3 linked regions of the Ovis aries genome follow. The protein of the gene in region 1 purifies or fractionates together with the protein of each later gene. This does not show direct contact. Links are inferred from orthologs where the notes say so. Each region holds a gene or a part of one and is shown in the gene's direction. Other genes may lie near its edges.

Region 1 (3,716 bases):
TCTACCAGGTAGATTCTAAGACTGGTCTCCAACCCTTGTCTCCATGTCTATGGGTTTATTTTGGCTGTGCTGAGGCTTTGCTGCTGCATGGGCTCTCTCTAGTTGTGGAGAGTGGGGCCTCCTCTCCAGTTGCGGTGCTTGAGCTTCTCCCTGGGGAGGCTTCTCTTGTTGCCGAGCAGAGGCTCTCGGGCGCATGGGCTTCAGGAGTCGCAGCAGGTGTGCTCAGTAGTCGTGGCTCCCGAGCTGCAGAGCCCAGGCTCAGGAGTTATGACACCTGGGCTCAGCTGCTCCGCAGCATGTGGGATCTTCCCAGACCAGGGATCGAACCCATGTATTCTGCATAGGCAGGCAGATTCTTTCCCTCTGAGCCACCAGGAAAGCCCCTGACCTTTCTTTTTACTGTTTAATGTGCCAGCTGTGAATGTGACTTGGATGTGTGGCTTGTTATATATTTCTGTTGGCAGTACTGGTCTAGGGTATGTGGTAGATGAAGAATCAAAAGATGAAAGCCCGGTTGAGGAGAGTTCCCCTTGTGGATTCCACAGACGGCCAAAAGAGGCCTCCCCAGCCACACTGCCAGCCTCAGGGAATCCTGTGGGGTTTACTCACCAGCTTTTCCCTTCCTTCCCAGGATTCTATATGGGAGAAGCCAGTGGAGGTTGTGCCCCATGCACTGATGGGATAGACTACACCAATCATTCAAACACCCTCCCTTCTTGCCTACCTTGCATGACTTGCAAATCAGGTCCAGAACCTGTGGTCCCCTGTGCCTGCGGTTAGGGTGCTGGGTGATGAGATGGGATTTAAATGGGACGAGGAGTCAGAAACCTGATTTCCATCCCAGCTAGGTCTTCAGCTTGTCTTAGGTCAGTAAAATAAATGAAAACAGAAGTTATTTGCATGACGCATGCCAACTGGTAGGGAAGTCCCTCAGAACATCAGCTGGAAAGAGGGGAATAACGTGTCCCTTGATGGAGGGGGCTGGATGGTAACAGTGCAGAAGGCCTGGGGGAGTGGGGCAGGGCTGGGTTTGAGCTGTGTGATGTGTCTGATCTTGGGCCAGCCTCCTGTGGGCGCTATGCCCTCGCTCTGGGGTCTCAGCCTCTCTCAGTCTTCATGACCTGAGATCCCTCTGCCTCTCCAGCAAGGCATCACCCGTTGGGACATCACCTAAGGGTTCCTCTCCATCCACAGCATCTCAGATTACACCTCACCCCACCCCACTTCTTGCTCCTCATTTGTGATCTAAAATATTTTTCTTCCCAACCCTGATGCAATCCGTAATGATGCCCAGTCCCTTTTGTATGCCTCTGTTGGTGACACGTGAACAGTGGCTGTTCTATGGATGGTCTATGTGTGTTGCCACAGAAAATGACCCCAAAATTACTTAAAAAAAGATTAATGCATTTATTTTTGGCTGTTCGGGGTCTTTGTTGCGGAACAAGGGCTTTCTCTCGTTGTGGTGAGGGGGGCTGCTCCGTGCTGCTTCTCATCATGGTGCACAGGCCCTAGAGCACAGGAGCAGTAGCTGTGGCTCCCAGGCTTAGCTGCCCTGCAACATGTGGGGTCTTCCCAGACCGGCGATGCAACCTGTGTCCCCTGCTTTGACAGGCGGATTCCTAACCACTGGACCAGCCAGGAAGCCCTCCGAATTACTTCTTGAACTGAGTGGATGGAGATCTGGGTGGTGAAGAAGGGGTGAGAGACATATGAGGGAAACACACCCTCAAAACCTTATCTTTGGTCTCTAGGAGAAGAAGAAAAAAATCGCTGCACCCCCACCAAGGACACTGAGTGTCAGTGCAAACCTGGCCCTTTCCGTGGAGAAGAGGCACCTGAATTCTGTCAAAAATGCAGCACCAGGTGAGACACAGGAGCCTGGGGGGCTTCCAAGCCACAGGAGACCCCAGTTTCCTTGTATCCATTTCTCTCCCCTGCTTCCTTGAAGCCCTTCCCACCTCTCAGAGCTCCCTTGTGCCTGTGGGGTCTCCTGAGCCTGCAGCAGCGCTCCCTACCACCACCGTTTGTCCTGCACGGCTTTCCCAGTGGCCCTTTCCCACGTCTCCTCAGGAGGGGCCTAGAAAGATGGAAGGGCTGACAGCAGACAGAAGTCATGATGAGGCCACGTGTGTGCTCCTTCAAGGTTCCTATAAAACTGGAGCCAACTCGACAGGGCTCGCACCCAGCCCCTTGTTCTCCAGTAGCACCTGAATCTTTCCTATTTGGGGACTCAGGGGCCAATAGTAATTCACTATCCTCTGATGCTCGTGTTTGCTGAGATTGGTAGGAAGAGTCAACAGGTGGATGAGAGGTCCTCGTATTCAAGTTTGACTGGAGGATGAGTCAAACTTGTGTCCACACCCTTCTGACCCTTGACATGGACGAGGCCCCCACCTCACAGACCTTCGCATGCAGCCCAGGGAGGCCAGGCGGGCCTTGCAGAGGAAGCTGAGCTCCTGAAGGACAGCTCTGAACACTCAGTAGGAGCCTGGGGGCCGCAGTACACAGTCCTGGATCCTTCTCCCACCCAGTGAGGGGAGTGAGGGGACCCTCCCCTGCAGACAGCAAGAGCCTGTCCCCCCTCCACTGTCTTGTCAGGGGACCCAGGATGGGAGGCTGCCCCCTCTTTCTCCTCATCCAGCCAGCTGTCCCTGATGGGTCCCCTACATCATCCCTGTGTCTGTACCCAGGTGCCCTGATGGGAAGGTCATGGTCACGGACTGTACCCCCTGGAGCAACATCAAGTGTGTGGACCAAGAAGCAGGTACCCTGGCCCATGGGGAGGCCCCAGTTCCTGGAGAGCTAGGAACTCCCTCTCCCTCCTCAGGCACTTCAAGGCTGGTGATTGGAATTGTAGCTGGACTTGGAATTGTCCTAATTGGATGTGTTATATGGTGCTTCTTTAACAGTGAGGTTCTAGAAGGGAAGGAGGAGGTGCTGGCTCCCTCCTCCATCTCCCCAATCCTCCTGTTCCTCCTGGCTTGTCTCTGATCTTGTTCCCCAGGAAACCCTTCCCACTTCACCTGGTCCTACAAAACCGTGATCACATCGGGCCCCCAACTCAGCTGATGGTCCCCTCTTCCCCCTGGCCGAGTCTGGTGGGAGGAGGCAGGAGAAGAGGGTGGTTCAGTAGCACTGCACAGAGATTTTACATGGGTTTCATTTTACTTCATTTTCTCCCTTCTCGTCTCCTCCCCGAGGGTTCTCCAGACTCAGAATGTCCCGCTTGCAGTCACAGGCCCGGGGCTCTTTGTTCAGTGTCTGAGCCCCCAACCTGCACCCTGTCCCTAGGAAGGGAGGTGCGGCAAGAGGGCCCTCCCCACCACTCAGTGGTTGTCTCTTTCTTCTAGGTCTCTCTGATGAGTGCTGGCACAAGGTGATCGGTTTCTCCAGCATCTGGCCGCATCAGACCCTCAGTAACAGCTTCCGCCCCACAACAATGCCCAGGGTGGACGTGGTCCTCGGTTTGTCCTATGCTGTTTTCCCTGACTCCCTCAACTGGCCTGAGGGCTCTAGGTTGAATGTAGGAGGGAGACTGGCCTGCTGAGAGCTGGCCTAAGGCTGGTTGGCAGCGCTGGCCCTGTCCTTACTGTTTGAGACACCCTCACTCTGCAGCCCCGGGGCGTGGGGGGTGTCAGGCAGGGGTACTCAGTTCCCCTTAGCATCACACCAGAGTCTGGGTGCCATCAGCACAGCCCAGATGTGCTGAGTCTCTG
Region 2 (3,747 bases), on another chromosome or scaffold:
TTCTAGCAGAAATCTTTTTTTTTCCCCGGCAATGATTCAGCCCATGAAAAGCAGTGGACTTTTAAAACATCTCTCCAACTTCCTTTTCCCCCATAAAGGTGTCCTCTCCATTTGCATGCAAGTTCCCAGGGTGGCAGACCTCAAATTGCAATTCTTTTCATAATAAACTTGTTTATGCTAGAGAAATAGTTGGCAGTCCATTTATTTTAGGCAGACAATATGTGGTGGCATCTCATTGGTTTTTCACAGTTTCCTAATATCCTATAATATTGAGCATCTTTTCATATACTTACTTGTCATTTGTATCGTGAGAAGTCTGTTGAGATCTTTTGCCTTTTCTCAATTGCATTTTTCCTTCTCTGGCATTTCTAGTATACTTTGGGTAACAGTATTTTATCAGCTATGCTTTCTGCAAATATTTTCTCAGTTTGTGGCATCTCATTACCTCCAGATATCTTTTTATAGTATGTAATCATGCTATATATATAATCAACTTTTCATCATAACACTATAGCAACCATTTCCCATTTTGCTTCAGACTTCCCAACCATCCTCGTATGATGCTGGTTCCTCCGCAGCCCCACAGAAGAGATTATCCCCACTTCACAGGTGAAGGAGATAAATGCCTGGGAGCTTGCTGCCTAGGGTTCCCGCGCTGCTGACCTGCAGAGCTCAGAATCCCCCGGGGAAGCAGCCCATCGTCTCCGGCCCTGCCCGCCGCGCCCGGCAGGTTTCTGTGAGTGGTTTCCGTGACTCGGCATTTCCTCTGTCCTCTCGGCCTCCCAAACCGCTCTGAGAGCACGATCCTCAGTCTGAGCGCGTCCCGGGGTTTCAGAACGGGCCCGGAGACCTTTCCAGACGCGGGGCGGGCGCTCTCCCCACCCTCCTCAGGGGCAGGAGCGGAGGCGGAGCGAGCAGTCCACGCCCTCCGCCGGCCGGGCTCCCTCAGTCGAAGCGCCGGCGGCGCGGACACCGCATCGGTGTCCCGGAGCGCTGACCCCGGAGCGCGGGGCCCCAGCGGGCCCACTCCGCGAGGAGCCCGAGCGCGCCGACCACTGGACAGCACGCGACGGACGGCTGGCCCGCGGAGCCGGGCGCGGTGAGGGCAGGGCAAGGCGGGGCGGTCCCCGCCCGCCTCCCAGCCGACGGCTCCGCCCCGGAGACCCCTAATCGGGCCCGGCGTGCCACCCCGGCCTGCGCCGGCCAGGTACTGCCGGGCGTCGGAGCAACTCTAGGCTGCCCCGCCGCCTCCTTCCTCACCCGGCCTGGGGCCTCAGGAAGTCTCCCGCGAAAGCGAAAGCGAATCTCTCGGTGCGTCAGCGCGGGACCGCCGGGCCCAGACCAGTCTCTGGGGCAGGCTTCCGGCAGGGGGCGGGGCTTCTGCTTCCGGTGGGTGGGGCGGGCGACGCGGCTGCCGGAGTTCGGGCGGTGGGCGTGGCCCGCGGCGTTCCTGAGGTCTGGCGGTGGGCCAGTGGGGTGGTGGGCGTGGCCCGCGAGTTCTCAGAAGGCAGACGGTGGGCCTTTAGGGTGGTGGACGTGGCCCGCGAGTTCCCGGAAGTCAGACGGTGAGCCGGTAGGATGGTGGGCGTGGCCCGCGAGTTCCCGGAAGTCAGATGGTGAGCCAGTAGGAGGGTGGGCGTGGCCCGCGAGCTCCCGGAAGTCGAGCGCCCAACTGCCAGCCGTCGGCGGTCCCTGCGGCGTCTCGTCTCGCCGGGAGTTTGGGTCTGGCGGGACCGGGCAGAGATTTGGCTCCCGCGCGATAACTGCCTGAGGTGGAGACGGCCCGCCACGTGGTTTGCGCTGTGGTGTCAGGGGAGGTGGCCGGTCTTCCCTGCGGTGTCGTTACGAGCTTTCGCCGCCCCGGGTCACGGGGGCGCCGGGGCCGCCGCTGCTCGCGACGCCGTCAGACGCCTTCCCGCGCCGTCTTCGAGGAGAGCTGGGAAAGAAGGGTCGACGGGCACGGCGGGGAGGGCGTCGTCCCCCGGTGGCGCGTGCTTTTACTAAGTGACTGAGCGCGCACACGCTCTCGTAGCCTCTTTAGAGTTTTGAAGAGGGTGAGCGCCACCCTTCTTTGCTCACGCTGGACAGCCTCCCACAGAGGCGGGGTTACTGTTCATTACTTTGTCTCTCGCTGTTCCTTCGGCTCTTCCTTGCTCGGAGCTCTTGCGTGTCCTGGACAAAGCCCGAGGCCCGTTACACTCAAGCGACTTTGCAATAGAACCGCTATTACTTCTCCCTCCATTCACACATGAAGAAATCAAGGCAGGAGTGACTTCTTCCTTGATCTACGTTTTGTAACCATCAGGTACGTAGGTGCAAGAGTGGGGAGGAGATTGTAGTCAATTATAAGTATGGGGAACTGCCCCCTTCTAAACACAAAAGGGAAAGAGGAAGCTTGTTTAAAGCAGTTGAGGTATCTCATCATCGTAATTATTATTACTGGTAAAACAACTATCATGATTAACTGTAATTTGCATGCTTCACTGAGCTGAATTGAGCACCACAGATACATTGCACTTTCAGGATTGTGAATATTCACGAGAATAAAGAAAAATATCCCTAAATAACAGTTTCCAAAATTGAAAATTTCTCTTGGATGCTTATTAATCAACAACATGGTAATACCACCAGTATGAGCTGGGAATTTGAAAAAGCACAGCTTCCCATGCTATGGTTGGACGTTATACTTCGGCAAAAATGATCGTGTTAACCTGTAGAATATTGATTTTGAACCGCATGTTTTCATATGTTTTTAAAATTTAGTCTGTACTTTCCCTATGTTTCTGAATGTAGCATACTTATTTAGTATAGGTGAGCAAAATTGTAAGATTAGGTCTTTGAATCTGATTTTAAGGAAGACAAATTATTGTTTACTCTCTGGAGAAGTAGCATGTGTTACTGAACTGATAGTGGAAATTTGAGTGAAGACATTAAGACTCAATTCTGGGATCTGTTACTCTAGGTGAATCATTAAACTCCAAATTATAGTTTCTCAGTTTGTAACTTGGAACCGATGTATTAATAAGTTGGTACTTCACAGGGTCATCATGTGCAAGATACACTGGGTTGAACTCTTGTAGTTTTCTCTCTTGCTCAGAGCTCTTGTTTATCTGAGGCAAAGCATCAAGCAGTTAAAATCAAAGAACCTTGAGAAATTCCCATTGGATGCCTGAGTAAAAACAGAGTTCCATGTGCAGAGGAAAAGGGGGTCATGATAGTCGGGTAGCCAGCATTTTCTGTCAGACTCCTCATGTATGGTCCTCACTGAAACACTGAAAAAAATCGCCCTCAACCACTTAAAGGTAAATATGAAATTTTTTTAACTTAAAAAAATTATTTATTGTGATACACAGAAAAGAACACACATCATAACTGTTTGACTCTCTTAATTGTCCTGAAGTGAACATTAAGAAGAGACAAGTATCGCCCTCACGCCCGACACTTCCTTCCTTCCCTGCTGGCTGCTTCCACCTCTCAGTAACTACTGCCCTAAGTGTTAACATTGTAGATTCATTTTCCCTGGCTTTTTGATGTTATATATTGTTAGTTATTTGTATTCTTCCCCAGTTTTACTGAAGTATAGTTGACAAAATTGAATGTCGATATGAATATTTTTTATATAGACTTACAGATAACTTGTGAAGTTTCTTGGAATTTCCAATTAATTTCAATTAATTTCCAATTAATTTCAATTAATTTTCCAATTAATTTTGAAAATCCATTAAAATAGACCGTTATATTCTCTGT
Region 3 (3,747 bases), on another chromosome or scaffold:
CCAGACAAAGGGTAAAAGAAAAATCAGGCAGATAGAAACAAAAACAAAGGAACATACATACACACACACCCATATATACACAAAAGAAATCAAAACAGACCAAGGAAAACAAAACCCAAGAGAGTCCAATAAAGTCAGGTCAGTTCTTTTGACCTGATGAACAAAAGAAACAAAAATTAAATCAATCAGTTAAAAACAAAACTAACTAAAACAGAAAACAAAACCAAAGCAGAGTGCCAACTGAACAATAAAGCAAAGAAAACAAAACAAACAAAAATGGTGGGGGTAAAAGAGACAAAAGAGAAATGCAAAGTTAAACAGAAGTATGTAAAAAAGATCCACATATATTAAAGAAAAACAACAACAACAAAAAGAACCCCCAGAAAACAACAACAACAAAAAACAAGCCAAAAAAGCACAGAACAGCAGAAAGCTAAACAGAAATAGACTGTATAAAAGAAAAAGTAAGATTTAAAAGAATCTCAAAAACCTAAATAGAAATAATAATAGTAATAAAAATAAAAACTACAACAGAGAAAAAAGAGAGAGAGAGAAAAAAAAAGGAAAAAAAACCAGAACCCACAACAGAAGGAATCAAAACATAAGAATAATAATAAATATTTTCTCAGGGATCAGCTGTCAGCATCCTTTCCCTTCACTGTGAGCCACAGCCCATCTCCACTTCCCTAGGAGGCCCTCCAGTGCTGGGGAAAGCAGGTCGACCTGCTGTGAGGACAGACTCTGATCTGGCCCTGCTACTGGGTATGCTTGTCTCCAGTGTCTGCAGCTGCCAGAGCTAGAGGGTTTTCTTTTCAGGGAACATTCTTTGTCTTCATATATTCCACAGACACAGGGTTTACCTAGTTGATTGTATGGATTTAATCTGCAGCTTGTGCAGCTGATGAAAAGGGTTTTAATCTTTTTCCTTAGGCACTCTGCCCCTGGAGCTCAATTGTGGTTTTATCCCCACATCTACCTGAGGGCCATCCATAAGAGTCTACTCCTAAGGCTGCCCTGGAGGACTCGGGTCCCCCCGAGTGATGACCAGGAGTGGAGATGGCATGGCTGCTTGGATCGGGGAGACTCCCAGAGCACCAGGCGCCATGGGCTCAAGGGATACGACTCTAATAGTCTTTTCTAGCTTCTGGCAGCTGGTGTTTGAAGGGCTGCCCTCTCTGGGATCCTTCTCTACTGCTCAGGGGCCAGTGCTGGTAACGTGGGGAGAGAGAGGCTACATAGACGGCTCCACCCCCTGCATGTAACTTACCAGTAGCGCCCTGCTTCCGGAGCCGCCCTGTTTCCCTTCAAAGGCTGTTTCCCTTAAATCCTGCTGCAGATTTCCTCCTTTCCTTCAGGTCATCTCCTCGGAATCAGTAGCAGTCCTCGCCCTGGGTTTGCTCTCCAGTCTACATGCTCCAGCTCCCAGCTGCCATGCGCCATCGGTGGACGTGCATCCTGGGACAGGTTATGTAGGGCCGCGGCTCGGATTGTCTGTGTGGTTTTCACTCTATTCGGACTGTCATGGATCAGCTGCTTCACCCTCCGACAGCCCCAAATGCTTCCCTTTCTGTCCCAACTGATTCCTCCGGATGTGGGAATCTCTCCCCTGCTTCAGCTCCCCCAGCGCTTTCTCTCCTCTTCCTTCTCCTCTCTTTCTTTTGTCCTACCCAGATATGCGAGTATCCATAAAATCCTTTCCAGTGGTCAGGGACTCCTGCTAGTGTTCAGGCCGTGTTCTGTGAGAACTGTTGCATCTATAGATGTATTCTTGATACATCCATGGAGAGAGATGTACTCCATGTCCACCCACTCCTCCACCTTCTTGAGTCCCTTCTGTTTCTTCCTTTTTTACTGCTGACTACTGTTTCATTTTATAGATACACTCCCATGGTTTATCCATTTGCCTTTTGGTGAGTATTTAAGTTATTCCTAGCTTTGGATTATTATTAGAGGAGCTGCTATAAAAATTAATCTGCAAGTCTTTGTATATATATTATATATTATTTCTCTTGAGTAAGTGCTTAGGAGGGCTTTTGTTTTATTATATGCTAAGTGCAGCCATGAAATTAAAAGACGCTTACTCCTTGGAAGGAAAGTTATGACCAACCTAGACAGCATATTCAAAAGCACAGACATTACTTTGCCAACAAAGGTCTGTCTAGTCAAGGCTATGGTTTTTCCAGTGGTCAAGTATGGATGTGAGAGAGTTGGACTGTGAAGAAAGCGAAGCACCAAAGAATTGATGCTTTTGAACTGTGGTGTTGGAGAAGACTCTTGAGAGTCCCTTGGACTGCAAGAAGATCCAACCAGTCCATTCTAAAGGAGATCAGTCCTGGGTGTTCTTTGGAAGGAATGATGCTAAAGCTGAAACTCCAGTACTTTGGCCACCTCATGTGAAGAGTTGACTCATTGGAAAAGAGTCTGATGCTAGAAGGGATTGAGGGCAGGAGGAGAAGGGGACAAGAGAGGATGAGATGGCTGGATGGCATCACCAACTCAATGGACATGAGTTTGAGTGAACTCCGGGAGTTGGTGATGGACAGGGAGGCCTGGCGGGCTGCAGTTCTTAGGGTCGCAAAGAATCAGACATGACTGAGCAACTGAACTGAACTGAACTGAAGTGTACTTTATAACAAATAGCCAAACTATTTTCCAAGTTTTATTGTGCTACATTTCTGCCAGTAATGTATGTTGTAGTTATTTCACATTCTCACTGATTCTTCGTATTGTCAACTGTTTGGATTTTAGCCATTCCTGTAGGCTTTTAATTTTCATTTCCCTGATAACTAATGATATTGAATAGTTTCTCATGCACTTATTGGCCGTTGCTTATCTTATTTTGTGAGGTAGCTGGGCAAAGTTTTTGCCCATTTAAAAAGTGAGTCATTAGTTTTATTATTCAGAGTAAGAATTCTTCATATATTCAGGCTTTATGTCCTTTGATGATATATATTGAAGCCCTAATCTATGGTTGCCCTTTCATTTCTTTAAATAAAACAAAACAAAACATTTATTTATTTATTTGGCTGCTCCAGGCCTTAGTTGTGGCACCCAGGATCTTTAGTTGTAGCATGCAAACTTTTAGTTTTGGTGTTTGGGGTCTTGTTGCCCGATCAGGGATCCAGATCCACACTCCTCAGTGGAAGTACAGAGTCTTAACCACTGGGCTGCCGGGGAAGTCCTATTTTTATTTTTTTTTAATGCGGATATTTTGAAGGAAAGATTAAAATTTTTGATTTGTAAATGTTTTCTGCTATGAGTTGTGCTTGTTTGTGCTCTAAGAAATCTCTGCCTACCCCAAAGTTTCAAAGATTTTTCTACTCTGTTTTCTTCTAAGAATGTTATAGTATACAGCAATGAAAATCAATGAACTGTACTGACATACTACACAGTAAATCTCAATGAACATAATATTGAGCATAAAAAGAAAGGCACAGATGAATATGGTTTGTTTTCATCCATATAGAGTGCAAAAATAGTAAAAACTAAGCTGTATTGTTTAGAGATGCATAGGTAAATGGTAAAACTTATAAAGTCAAGAAAATTCTTATCTCCAAATTTGAGATAGTGGTTATCTCTTAGGGGAGAACGTGGGTTATGATAAAGGATGGGCACACAGAGGCCTCTGAAATGATCCTATTTTGTGCCTTTGGGTGGCAGTTACATGGATGTTTGATTTACCATTCTTTATTAATATATGTATTTATGTTTAGTGCACATTTTTGAATTTGTTTGCATTTCACAATC

Evidence for each region. The genes of interacting proteins can lie anywhere in the genome.
Region 2: the proteins of tumor necrosis factor receptor superfamily member 10B-like (region 1) and RIPK1 purify together in Homo sapiens (affinity purification with western blotting, with the first as the bait; 3 studies listed by BioGRID). This does not show direct contact. The link is inferred for Ovis aries from reciprocal best matches to the Homo sapiens genes TNFRSF10B and RIPK1.
Region 3: the proteins of tumor necrosis factor receptor superfamily member 10B-like (region 1) and CFLAR purify together in Homo sapiens (affinity purification with western blotting, with the first as the bait; 5 studies listed by BioGRID). This does not show direct contact. The link is inferred for Ovis aries from reciprocal best matches to the Homo sapiens genes TNFRSF10B and CFLAR.

The regions. Positions count from the first base shown.
Region 1 is NW_024599721.1:42,210-45,925, forward strand, and holds the start of tumor necrosis factor receptor superfamily member 10B-like, read left to right. Parts: upstream 1-907; coding exon 908-917; intron 918-1,751; coding exon 1,752-1,863; intron 1,864-2,690; coding exon 2,691-2,908; intron 2,909-3,266; coding exon 3,267-3,464; intron 3,465-3,716. UniProt on the Homo sapiens protein: Receptor for the cytotoxic ligand TNFSF10/TRAIL. The adapter molecule FADD recruits caspase-8 to the activated receptor.
Region 2 is NC_056073.1:49,697,688-49,701,434, reverse strand, and holds the start of RIPK1 (receptor-interacting serine/threonine-protein kinase 1), read left to right. Parts: upstream 1-947; 5' UTR 948-1,207; exon of another isoform or gene 1,208-1,378; intron 1,379-1,655; exon of another isoform or gene 1,656-2,305; intron 2,306-3,040; exon of another isoform or gene 3,041-3,302; intron 3,303-3,747. UniProt on the Homo sapiens protein: Serine-threonine kinase which is a key regulator of TNF-mediated apoptosis, necroptosis and inflammatory pathways.
Region 3 is NC_056055.1:203,444,249-203,447,995, forward strand, and holds the start of CFLAR (CASP8 and FADD-like apoptosis regulator), read left to right. Parts: upstream 1-1,353; 5' UTR 1,354-1,464; intron 1,465-3,747. UniProt on the Homo sapiens protein: Apoptosis regulator protein which may function as a crucial link between cell survival and cell death pathways in mammalian cells. Acts as an inhibitor of TNFRSF6 mediated apoptosis.